Linked DNA regions of Arabidopsis thaliana. The protein of the gene in region 1 interacts with the protein of each later gene in a pairwise test. Each region holds a gene or a part of one and is shown on either strand. Other genes may lie near its edges.

Evidence for each region. Proteins that work in one complex are often made in the same cells at the same time.
Region 2: the proteins of TIFY8 (region 1) and LST8-1 interact in binary tests that used the Arabidopsis thaliana proteins (3 or more experiments, as listed by UniProt).

What each region holds. Positions count from the first base shown.
Region 1 is NC_003075.7:15,714,730-15,720,819, reverse strand, and holds TIFY8 (TIFY domain protein 8), read left to right. Parts: upstream 1-1,952; 5' UTR 1,953-2,117; coding exon 2,118-2,364; intron 2,365-3,057; coding exon 3,058-3,227; intron 3,228-3,319; coding exon 3,320-3,576; intron 3,577-3,654; coding exon 3,655-3,751; intron 3,752-3,863; coding exon 3,864-4,089; coding exon of another isoform or gene 4,090-4,154; intron 4,155-4,160; exon of another isoform or gene 4,161-4,298; coding exon 4,299-4,387; 3' UTR 4,388-4,588; downstream 4,589-6,090. Other genes in the region: AT4G32580 (Thioredoxin superfamily protein), read left to right, coding at 285-455, 530-604, 706-942; AT4G32560 (paramyosin-like protein), read right to left, coding at 4,785-4,847, 4,932-5,054, 5,163-5,243, 5,457-5,564, 5,675-5,714, 6,015-6,090. UniProt on the Arabidopsis thaliana protein: Repressor of jasmonate responses.
Region 2 is NC_003074.8:6,211,369-6,216,997, reverse strand, and holds LST8-1 (Transducin/WD40 repeat-like superfamily protein), read left to right. Parts: upstream 1-2,193; 5' UTR 2,194-2,430; coding exon 2,431-2,538; intron 2,539-2,622; coding exon 2,623-2,724; intron 2,725-2,811; coding exon 2,812-2,924; intron 2,925-3,078; coding exon 3,079-3,148; intron 3,149-3,322; coding exon 3,323-3,400; intron 3,401-3,470; coding exon 3,471-3,587; intron 3,588-3,686; coding exon 3,687-3,769; coding exon of another isoform or gene 3,770-3,773; exon of another isoform or gene 3,774-3,849; coding exon 3,850-3,929; intron 3,930-4,008; coding exon 4,009-4,068; intron 4,069-4,148; coding exon 4,149-4,255; 3' UTR 4,256-4,413; downstream 4,414-5,629. Other genes in the region: RACK1C_AT (receptor for activated C kinase 1C), read left to right, coding at 4,627-5,505. UniProt on the Arabidopsis thaliana protein: Component of TORC1 complex, which is an essential cell growth regulator that controls plant development. Acts by activating transcription, protein synthesis and ribosome biogenesis, and inhibiting mRNA degradation and autophagy.

The DNA of each region.
Region 1 (6,090 bases):
TTTAGCGGATTATTTTCAACTATATAACCCAGTAAAAGATAGTTTACTTGTCATGTGGTATATTTGACAGTTATCAAACTTTTGAGAGTTTGTGACACGTACGATACAGACACAAAATCAAATCTCCCTCTCCGACCATTTTTTTTTCTTAGTTACATAAATCTCTTTTCCTTCTCCAGCAACAGAAGAATTCTGCTCGATAATAGATTGGTAATCACAAAAAGAAAAGAAAAAGTGTTGGAGATCCTTCCGAGAGAGACGCGACATCTCCTTCCTCTTCGAAGATGAGTGGTACTGTGAAGGATATCGTTTCAAAGGAGGAGCTTGATAACTTGCGCCACAGCGGAGCACCACTCGTGCTTCACTTCTGGGCTTCTTGGTGTGACGCTTCGAAGCAGATGGATCAAGTTTTCTCTCATCTCGCTACTGATTTCCCTCGTGCTCACTTCTTTAGGGTTCGTCGTCTCTGTTCGAATTTTATCTCTTTCAATTGGTTTTTGACTTTGATTGGTTTTATTTATCTTCTTAGGTAGAAGCTGAGGAACATCCTGAGATATCTGAGGCTTATTCTGTTGCTCTTGTGCCGTATTTCGTCTTCTTCAAGGTAAACTTTAGGCATATTGATTCTTTGTTTGGTTGCAATTTTTTGGCTTATTGACAAAGCTTGAATCTTTGTCACTGCACTGAATCCTTTTCTTATTGAAGGATGGCAAAACTGTGGATACACTTGAAGGGGCAGATCCATCAAGTTTAGCTAATAAAGTTGGCAAAGTTGCTGGTTCTATTACTCCTGCAAGCTTAGGGTTGGCTGCAGGGCCAACGATTCTTGAAACTGTTAAGAAGAATGCGAAAGCTTCTGGACAAGACCGAGCTCAGCCTGTATCTACCGCTGATGCTCTCAAGAATCGTTTGGAAAAACTCACCCTGTTATGTTATTCATGAATGGTACTCCTGAAGAGCCTCGATTTTTAATATCTATTGAGTACTTTCTTTATAGTTGGAATTCTTGTGGATATATATCAGGTAGCTACTTGGAGCAAACATGTTGCTAAAGTTGACCTGCTACTGTTGTTTGAAGAACACGTGCTATGTCTTGTCGTTGAAGGAATTATGTTCATATGGGAAGAACATAAGCCTACTGGAAAGTTTACCCCTAGCTCTATTGTTAACCCAGATACTTGAGCCTCCATATCACAAACATCTAGTTAAGGTTTGTGTAGTAAGAACAAGAAAAACAACACGTGTTCCCAATTCCCATATAAATGACCATTATACTTCTATCAACCCAATTAATCACAGTCCGGAGACTAGTTGATTAAAAAATCAGCTAATACTAATTTGGTGGTTTCAATAAACATCTTAAATACTCCATAATTAAACTAGATTAAAGTGGGAAAAATCGTCATGAGTAGTTGTAAAATCGATTTCATTTAAGAGTATAGAAATTCGTCATGAGTGGTTGGTTCATGAGTTCTCTCTCTTACTCATATTAGAGTAAGAAATCAAACACTTATAATCATTCAAAATTCAACAACTCTCATCTCAAAACCATATATTTAGGTAAAGTTATATGCATACATTTTGCATTTTAATTTTAAAACAGATTATTTGGCGCGTAATGATAAAATTATGTGTATAAAAATTATTTAACTAATCGATCTAACAACCACATATGAGTAAAGTAGTTAACATTGTACTACTACACCAAATTATAGTGTGTTGGTTAGATTAGATACACAAACTCACTTTCTCAAATCAATAACATTATGAATCTATGATAACCTTAATTTAAAAAGAGTCTATAATGCCATGATTTTACAATCGTACTTTTTTCTTTTGGGCTGAACTTTTAATCATATATTATTTGAAAGATGTGATTATTATAATATTAAAGGGAATTAAAATCATGTAAGAGAAACCCAATAAAGTAGCTTGAAGAAGAAAAAGACAAGCTTTATTATACACTTACCCAGAAAAACAAAAAACAAAAAACTGATAATATCTCTCTCTCTCTCTCTCGTTGAGTGTGTCCATGAAATAATACTCTGCCAGAGACAGAGAGAAAGACTGTAACGGAGGATGTGGTGGCGAAGTGGCCACACTGACACACTGGTTTCATGATGGTGAACCACAACAATGGCCAGCGACCCACTGATATTGATTCTCGTCTCCGACAGACAGAACAAGATAAGCTCTTGTTCCATGACTTTTTAGGCTCCAAGAATCCTACTTTAGCATCCACTTCCATGGCTGACCATAGGCTACCACCGGATAATAAGGCGGCTAAAGCGGCGATGACTCCTTCCACGGCTTCTGCTTCCTCCGCCGGTGGACTCGGCGGTCTCTCCTCAACCTCCGATCTCGGTTCTGCTCTGTCTCTCTATCTCTCTCTCCTGATGTTTTTGTTGTTGTTGACGTAGTGTGCTTACGCTGATGAGGTTTTGAGCTGATTCCTCTGTACATTTAGGGTTTCTATCTATAGAAAGTTCAACTTTTGTTACATAGATTCGATTTAAAGTTGGATTCTTTCTTTTCCCCCTAGTCTGGATTAACGATCGAGCTTTGATTCACCATGATTTGAAAATGTAAGAGATCATGTGAGTTAGTTTCAAATTTTTTAGTCAATTCATTTATGATTAGATCTCTTAAGTTGAAAATGGAACATCTTTGGGTTCATAAGGTTGAACAAAATGTGAATGTACATTGTCTTGTTTCATTTCTTGCCTCATTGCTTTTTTAGTTCGACAATTTAAGAAACATGAACATGGATTGTGTGTGGGCATGTGGTTGCTTGACCTCTTGTAGTGTTAAGGACTCTCCCTCTCTCTCTCTCTCTCTCTCTCTCTCTGCCCAACCATAATGCCCTCTGGTGGATTAGTTGGGACATTGAGAGTGAATTTGACTGATGAGTTTGGTGGGTCATAGCCATTTGAGGTTGTGATCCTTTTTTATATGAATTGGCCCTTCTTTATTGCCTCTCGTTTTCTCTCTCTATCTCCTTGAGTTCCCTCCCACAACAATCTTTAAGTTACTTATCCATATTTTATCATTGTTTAGTCGAAAGACACAGCGGCGGTGGGAATCATCTTGATGGGATACAATTGTTTGGACCAAGAAGTGATGTTTCTGGCTCAATCATGAGCAATCGGTTTTCAGGAAATAAGAGAAGTAACTCTGATTCTCACTTCACGACTCAGGAGCACCCAGAGACTCTGCATTGGTCCAAGGTAACTAAAAAAAAAACAGAACCTACACAACTTCACCATGGTCACAGCTACGTAGAACTCAGTTTCTGTAATATGTCATTGTCATAACCTAGTTGCTTAGAAACGGACCTGGAAGCTTCTCCATGAATGTGAATCCTTTGGCAAACCAGCCTCCACGCGGAGGAGGACAGATCAGTCATTTGCTTCATCAGCTGTCTACTAGCAGGTTCAAAGATGAGAACGTAGGCCCATCAGTTATTGCTCAGACAGCTGCTGATGAAGGTTCACGAACAGGGATGAAAGGTCCCGGTATCTTGAGTTCTTTTACAATGCCAAACTCAAGCAAGCTCGAAAGTTTTGCCCCTTCAAAGTCAGTTAGCTTCTAGTGTTTTGTGTCTCTGGTCTTTCGATACTCTTCGAGTCATTTCAATACACTTTGTATTTGCAGTACCGGAAATCGGAAAGACTTGGCGTCGAGTACTAAGCAAATGACCATCTTCTATGGCGGTCAAGCTCATGTCTTTGATGACGTTCACCCAAACAAGGTGATTCTCCCTAACACTTATACACTTGATATTCAAGTTATTTGACTACATTTTGATATCTAAAAAGGTAGAGAATTGAGAAGTTCATCTGATGAATGTTATTTTTTTGCAGGCGGATGTGATAATGGCCTTGGCAGGATCAAGCGGAGGCTCATGGTCTACGGGTTTGTCTCATAAACCGAAGTCGAAGAACAACACAAGTGACGGTCCATACAAGCTAGGCCAAATGTATGAAGGAGGCAGCTCTAAGGAAACACCACAAATGCCCCCGGAATTTCGTGCAAGGCCGAGTCATCAACCTACCTCCAGTGCCTGTCACCGGATCTTTACACAACCAGGTGACTTCTTTTTAAAGAAAACCAGATTTCAGCAGAAATTTTGGTTAGCTTCTTACAAATACTGAGTGGAGTAGAGTAATCAGGTCTTATTTTGCATTGTGACATAATAAAATGAGGATACAACAGTAAAGAGTTATCAACTGTTCTGGGTTTTATCAACTTGAATCTGTTTGAGGAGCCATAAAACCATGTACATGTATGATTTGCAGGTAGAGAGCATCAAGGAAGCATCATCTCAAGGGGACGAGATATCAGAGATCCGGTTCACAGATCAGATCCTGAAAAAGAAGCCACATGATTAAAGTCTGAATATGAGAGACGATGAGTGTGGCTGTTCTTCTAAGTTGTTGTTTTTTTTGTTTTTTTTTTGTTTTTGGTCAACTTCTTCTAAGTTGTTATTTGTTGACTTGATAGCTTTGTACAATGCTCTGTACCTTTCTAGGTTTGTATTCAAACTCATCTCCTCAATGATTTAGAGAATAATATTTTCTCATAGCTCATATATAAACATATTGGTCAACCAAACCTACTATTTCTAGGCCTATCGATTTTCGTATATTTCCATGTAAGGCTGAGCATATGGATACATCACATCACAAGAGAATCATATCTAAATCAACTCTGGCTCTACTCTGGTTAGCTGTAACTCGAAAGGAGAGTCACTTCATATCACCTTATTCAAACCCTTCTTCGAGTCAGAGGTGTTCGTTCATGGCAGATATATGACTTCTCAGCCTCTCATTCTTAGTACATTCCTCCTGCCATTGAGAAATTTAGCACTACGTAAGTAGATGACTCTCGGGCTTTTCAGTATAAACACTTATTTCCTATCTTGTGCTAACCTGGTATGCTCTTAGTACAGTGTAGCATTTTCTTTGCTCTGCAGCTGCAGCTATATACTTTTCTTTTGAAGCATCACGGAGCCTCTGCTCTTCTTGAAGCCCAAGTTGTATTTTTCCAATCTTCTGCACTTTAAACATTTTGTTATGACAAATCATACAGCTATAGATAGGTAAGATGGGTTAGTTCATGCTTTGTGCCTCAAATACCTGATTCAATATAACTCAGATTACCTGTTGGATTCCTTTCATGACTCCTTCCATTGAATCAATAAGCTTCACACGGCCAGCAGGAGTACCAATCACGTCTTGAAACTACAATCAAGTCAACGGAATTATGGTGAAACTTTGACTCACCAAGAGATATACTAAAAGGGGAAAGCAGAGACGTAAATCAACTTAGTAATGAACATAAGCTATTCTCAACGATATAAGTACATGACAACTAAAGGTACAACGTGGAGAACAGTACAAAGCAGATGATGCTAGTTATAGAAAATCAACAAAATAATAATGCCTGTATTTTACCTGTGAACCTATGGAATTCAATAATGATGTCTCCTTAAGCATCAAATCTTTGATTTCTAAAAGAGCATTGTATGTTGCATAGAGCTTCCTAGTTTGTTGAAGTTTCTCCTGTTTTTAGTCAGATATCAAACAAATGTTCGTCAAGCTAGCAAGTTCATTTTCAACTAAGAAACAAACCTGCAAAGCAACGAGGCAAATATTAATTTGACTATTCGAACCTGAATACAGACATTCAGCTCTGAGAATCTTCTTTCATATCTGCACGGAATGAAATATTGGAATTTAGCGTGAAATAAATACACCAAGTGGGAAATTAGCCATAGTAAAACTGGATTCCACAAAGCTACACGCAAATTAACTTGACTCCTGACATGATGATTCATATATTTTACAACATAATCAAAGATACTTGCTCATCAAACCAGTGGGAGTGGTGGGGTTAAATCAAAAAAATTGTTGAGATGAAAGAGTTTCAACGCGAACAAGTACACAAATACAAAGTGCCAAATCCAAGGCATATTATCTTAGAAGTAAGAAAGTGGGGGAAGAAGAGCATACTGGAGGAGTTCAGATTGGCATGGCACATCGTCAATCTGTCGCTTCAGAGAGACTATCTCTCTTAGCGTTGCTCCAA
Region 2 (5,629 bases), on another chromosome or scaffold:
GCCGGTGGGAAGAGAAGCTGGGTCCACTGCATAGTTATGGTTTTGCCAAAATCCGCACAAACAATATCAATCAAAATCTTCAGCAGACACAAAACAGAGACGTCTTTTTTTTAGTTTACTGTACTAGGAAGTGAGAAGCTGAACTCGACAGCCATGTAACAACAAGTTCTCAGAGTTACATATATAAGTATATAACTAAGTTTTGATTAATAATTTTTATTTTCCCATCATATTTGTAAACTATATTAGAACTGAAAGATTAGACTGTTTAATCTTGTGTGGTTATAATCTATAGATAGTAAATGGAGCATACCTGAGCACTGATCTCGACATGGCCGGTTCTGTTGTTACGAACTGGATGGTTTCCTCCATGATGACCAAATTTCATCTTAAAGGTTTTACCTCCAAGAGCTTGTCCAAGTAACTGATGACCCATACAGATTCCATAGACAGGAACTTTTCCTAGAAGCTCTTTAACCGTCTCAACTGCATAAGGCACTGCAGAAGGATCTCCTGGACCGTTGCTGAATAGAATCCCGTCTGGTTTCATTTTAAGCGCCTCTGCAGCTGGCCATGTCGATGGGACAACTGTGATTTCACAACCGTATGATGCCGAAATCATATGCAATAACCTTTTGAAGTGGAAGTATGAAAACAGAGTTAGAAGCTAGTGAGGAAATCCCGTCTTAGAATGTTTTGCTTGATCCCGAAATCATATGCAATAACCTTTTGAAGTGGAAGTATGAAAACAGAGTTAGAAGCTAGTGAGGAAATCGATGAGAATGTAAATTAGAGAAGAGAAAGTACAACTCACTCTGTAGGATTCCCTGTGACGTGAGGAGGTTGTCTTAAACTCCCATTCAGGATTTGTTTTTTCAACCCATTCGTAGGGAGATTTACAGGAAACATCGCTTATTAGATCAAGGCCTAAAATATTCAACCAAGCAGATAGACAGAGCTCAATCACATATTCCACGCTGATCATATTTTAAGGAGGGCAGTGAAAGAATTCAGACCTACTATATCCCAAGAGCGGGACATATGCAAAAGTTCCTCGTCGGTTTTGGATCCATCAGTGCTAAGCACACCGTTAAGACTGCCGCTTTCTCTTAATCGACGGGTTATTGCCCGTGTGTCAAGATCATCTGGTAGGATTAAAATGAGTAATGTTCTAAACCCAGTTATAATATCTAGAAATCTAAATTAGAATCTAAAAAAGAATCTGACCCTGTCAAAGAGGTGTTAAATACCAATTCAGCAACACGGGTTCCAGAAGCACCAAAAGACTTAGCTGACCAAACAGAGCCATCTTCTAACACTAGCCTAGCATTGTATGAGCTCCATGGTTTCTCTAAAAAACCTACAAAACCGGTAAAACAAGGAATTCACTGTTAGAAACAGAGATGATAGAACAGAGGTTAAGAACTGTTTAGCTGAATGATACTTAATTCTGTGAATGACTTTCAGATGTCTCTGATATCTCTGATAATTTCTCACAAATGAGACTACATGCTTATATAGAAAAGAAATGTATCTGCACCCATTAAACCCATGGACTCATTATGTCCTACAAACATAAAAATAAAAACCCCCAAATTTATTGTAAAACCAAAACTGACAAATGTGTCTTAACACACATTAACTCCCCTCTTTACTCTTGTTTGAATCACATTTCAACATTCACACACATTTTCAGCTCATCCAAACTAAAAGAAACAATAACCAAAACGATGATTAAGGCACGAATCAAGAGCCTACAAGTAATCTGAAAAAATCATATATATACATAACATTTGAATCGAAAGCCAATTCGAATCTAAAGTTCTGGGAAAAAATCAAGCTGTGAAAATACGGAAATGGGGAAATCGGCGAGCGTTACCAGATGCGGTGCCTGTAGAGGTGACTGAAGAAATGGAACACTTGACGACGGAGAGCCTAACTCCTCCGCGACGGTTCAATGACGGCTGGATGAAGAAGCCCGTCGGCAAAACAAATTCCAGAGCTTTCGTAGCCGCCATTGTTGCCGTCTCTAAAAGCTTCCAAGGAGTCTCAGCCGTTATGTCTGTCAGTGAAGTAGTGAACAAATAGTTGTTCTTTATATTTTCTTATTACTTTTCATAAATAACAAAATAGCCCTTTACTTATTTTCGTATATTTAAATAAACCCCAATAGATATATATTTATACTAAAACCTCCCCGCGTTAATTAATTATGAGAAAAGCTTGGTAAAAACCCTATTTTTCTTCTTCTCTTCAATTTACAGTTCTCTGCACCTTTTTCTTTCCCCTGTTTTTTGATCCTCAATCACCAAACCCTAGCTTGTTCTTCTGTTGATTATTTCGAAAAGGGGGTTTGTTTGTTTTCTGGGAATCAGCAAAAATCACGAAATGGTTGGTTTAATATTTCAATCGGGATAAAATCGATCGAAAATGAGTCAGCCTTCTGTGATTCTTGCTACGGCTAGCTATGATCACACCATCCGATTCTGGGAAGCCGAAACTGGTCGCTGTTACCGTACCATTCAGTATCCTGATTCGGTTTGTTTCTCTCTCTCTCTCCCTTGATTTTGTGAATTCTGAGTAATTAATAAAACTGAGACAAATTAATGTTTGTAATTGCAGCATGTAAATAGGCTTGAGATAACCCCAGATAAGCATTATCTAGCTGCAGCTTGCAATCCTCATATTCGACTCTTTGATGTCAATTCCAATAGTCCTCAACCTGTAAAACTCCTCTCTTTTTTTCTCAATGTGGTGTTTGCTTCCTTCTACCTGCTTGAGTGATCTTGATGGAGTCGTCGTGTGTATTAGGTGATGACTTACGATTCACACACCAACAATGTTATGGCAGTAGGATTTCAATGTGATGCAAAATGGATGTATTCAGGATCAGAAGATGGCACAGTTAAGATCTGGGACTTAAGGTATATCATGTCATCTTCATCTTTAGCTAAAAGTTTATAGATTTATTCAAGTGTGGATTCTGGGAAAGGATAAGGAGATATTGAATATAAAGTTACGAAAAATACTAAGAACGTTCTAAATTGTATTCTTGTTGACTCGTAAACCAAAATGCAGGGCTCCGGGTTGCCAAAAGGAGTATGAAAGTGTTGCAGCGGTTAATACAGTTGTTTTACACCCAAATCAGGTACATGAAGTCATCTGTTATTGTTGTGCTGTGGGAATCAGCTTCGTTTTATGTTTAAGAGAGTTGTTGTATTGCTACTGTTGAAACTGCTGTGATTTTGGTAGTTGTCTCAGCTGTTATTATGAACTATTTCCTTAGTCTTTATTATGAACTTTGTTTTTTTTTTTTGTACAGACTGAATTGATATCTGGAGACCAAAATGGAAATATACGTGTATGGGATCTCAGAGCAAATTCGTGTAGCTGTGAACTGGTAATTGCCTTTGACACGTCTTCATTTCATTTCTGAAAATCCGTAGATAATCACTTGAGGTTAACTATAGGTACCAGAAGTTGATACAGCTGTACGGTCTTTAACTGTTATGTGGGATGGGACAATGGTAGTCGCTGCTAACAACCGTGGAACATGTTATGTATGGCGCTTGTTGCGTGGAAAACAGGTAGTGTTCCTGATATGCAAACCTTTCTTTTGTTTAACCATGTTGTAGTCGCATTACTCTAATTGTCCATGCCATTTAAAAATTCAAAATCTTTTACAGACAATGACAGAGTTTGAGCCCCTTCATAAGCTGCAAGCTCATAATGGCCACATCCTTAAATGTCTCCTCTCTCCTGCAAACAAGTAACATGTTTCTTATACTTTCTCTTTTAACCGTTTTCTTCATCCTCTCCTTTTCGAAGCTCTTACATATTTGTTAGCAGATATCTAGCGACTGCATCATCTGATAAAACTGTCAAAATATGGAACGTCGATGGTTTTAAACTAGAGAAAGTTTTAACAGGTATGTTCTCCATGTTACTGTCAACAGCATTCATTCTCCATTATCGTCTCTTACACTATCATCAAATCTTATATAACAGGACATCAAAGATGGGTTTGGGACTGCGTCTTCTCAGTGGATGGAGAATTTCTTGTAACAGGTACTAATCTCTGTCTTAACTTAAACCACTGAAAAACATATCAGAACAATCTTTAAACGGGTTTCTATGATGTTGTACAGCATCATCGGACATGACGGCTAGATTGTGGTCGATGCCAGCAGGCAAAGAAGTGAAAGTGTACCAAGGTCATCACAAAGCCACTGTGTGCTGTGCACTTCACGATTAAAACCTTAATAAGAATCAAAGCTAAATTATGAACAAACTACGATTGTGTTATTTGTGTTTTAGTAAACTCTTGTACATTTCAATCGAATTCGTTCAAATTGCTCTTATGTTCCCTCTCTGATCAAACATTTCTCAACTATATCACAACAAAAATGCTCCAACAAAATTTATTTCAGAAGAGGCCCATTTATACCTGACTCGGAAACTCCGGCCCAAATGAGCCAGTCTCCTCGCAGAAACCACACTAAACCCTAATTTGATTCATTTTTAGACCTAGAGTATAAATACCAAACATTTCAATCGACCTCGTAATCTCTCGCTCTGTTACGCCATTTTCGTGAGTAAGAAGAAGAAACCCGAAAACCTCAAACCATGGCCGAGGGACTCGTATTGAAGGGCATTATGCGCGCCCACACCGACATTGTCACGGCCATCGCTACGCCGATCGACAATTCCGACATCATCGTCACAGCGTCGCGTGACAAATCCATCATCCTCTGGAAACTCACAAAGGACGATAAGTCTTACGGTGTTGCTCAGCGTAGGCTCACAGGTCACTCTCACTTCGTGGAAGATGTTGTTCTCTCATCGGACGGTCAGTTTGCACTCTCCGGAAGCTGGGACGGTGAGCTCCGTCTCTGGGATCTTGCCACGGGAGAAACAACTCGTCGATTCGTTGGTCATACGAAAGATGTGCTCTCTGTTGCATTCTCTACTGATAACCGGCAGATCGTGTCTGCTTCTCGTGATCGTACGATTAAGCTTTGGAACACACTTGGTGAGTGTAAGTATACCATCTCTGAAGGTGATGGTCACAAGGAATGGGTTAGTTGTGTTAGGTTTAGTCCTAATACTCTTGTACCAACTATTGTATCTGCTTCTTGGGATAAAACTGTGAAAGTTTGGAATCTCCAGAACTGTAAGCTGAGGAACTCTCTTGTTGGTCACTCTGGTTACCTCAACACTGTTGCTGTCTCGCCTGATGGTTCGCTATGCGCCAGTGGTGGGAAAGATGGTGTTATCTTGTTGTGGGATTTGGCTGAAGGAAAGAAGCTTTACTCGCTTGAGGCGGGTTCGATTATTCACTCGCTTTGCTTCAGTCCTAACAGATACTGGTTGTGTGCTGCTACTGAGAATAGCATTAGGATTTGGGATCTTGAGAGCAAGTCTGTTGTTGAGGACTTGAAGGTTGATCTCAAGTCTGAGGCAGAGAAGAATGAAGGTGGTGTTGGAACTGGTAACCAGAAGAAGGTACGTCATTATCTTATGATTTCACTATAGTAATTGGTTCTCTATTGATAGGTTAGTGAATGCACCAAAAGTAGTGATGAAATTATCTTTGGTTATGACAAAAAAAAAGTGAAATTTTGGTTAG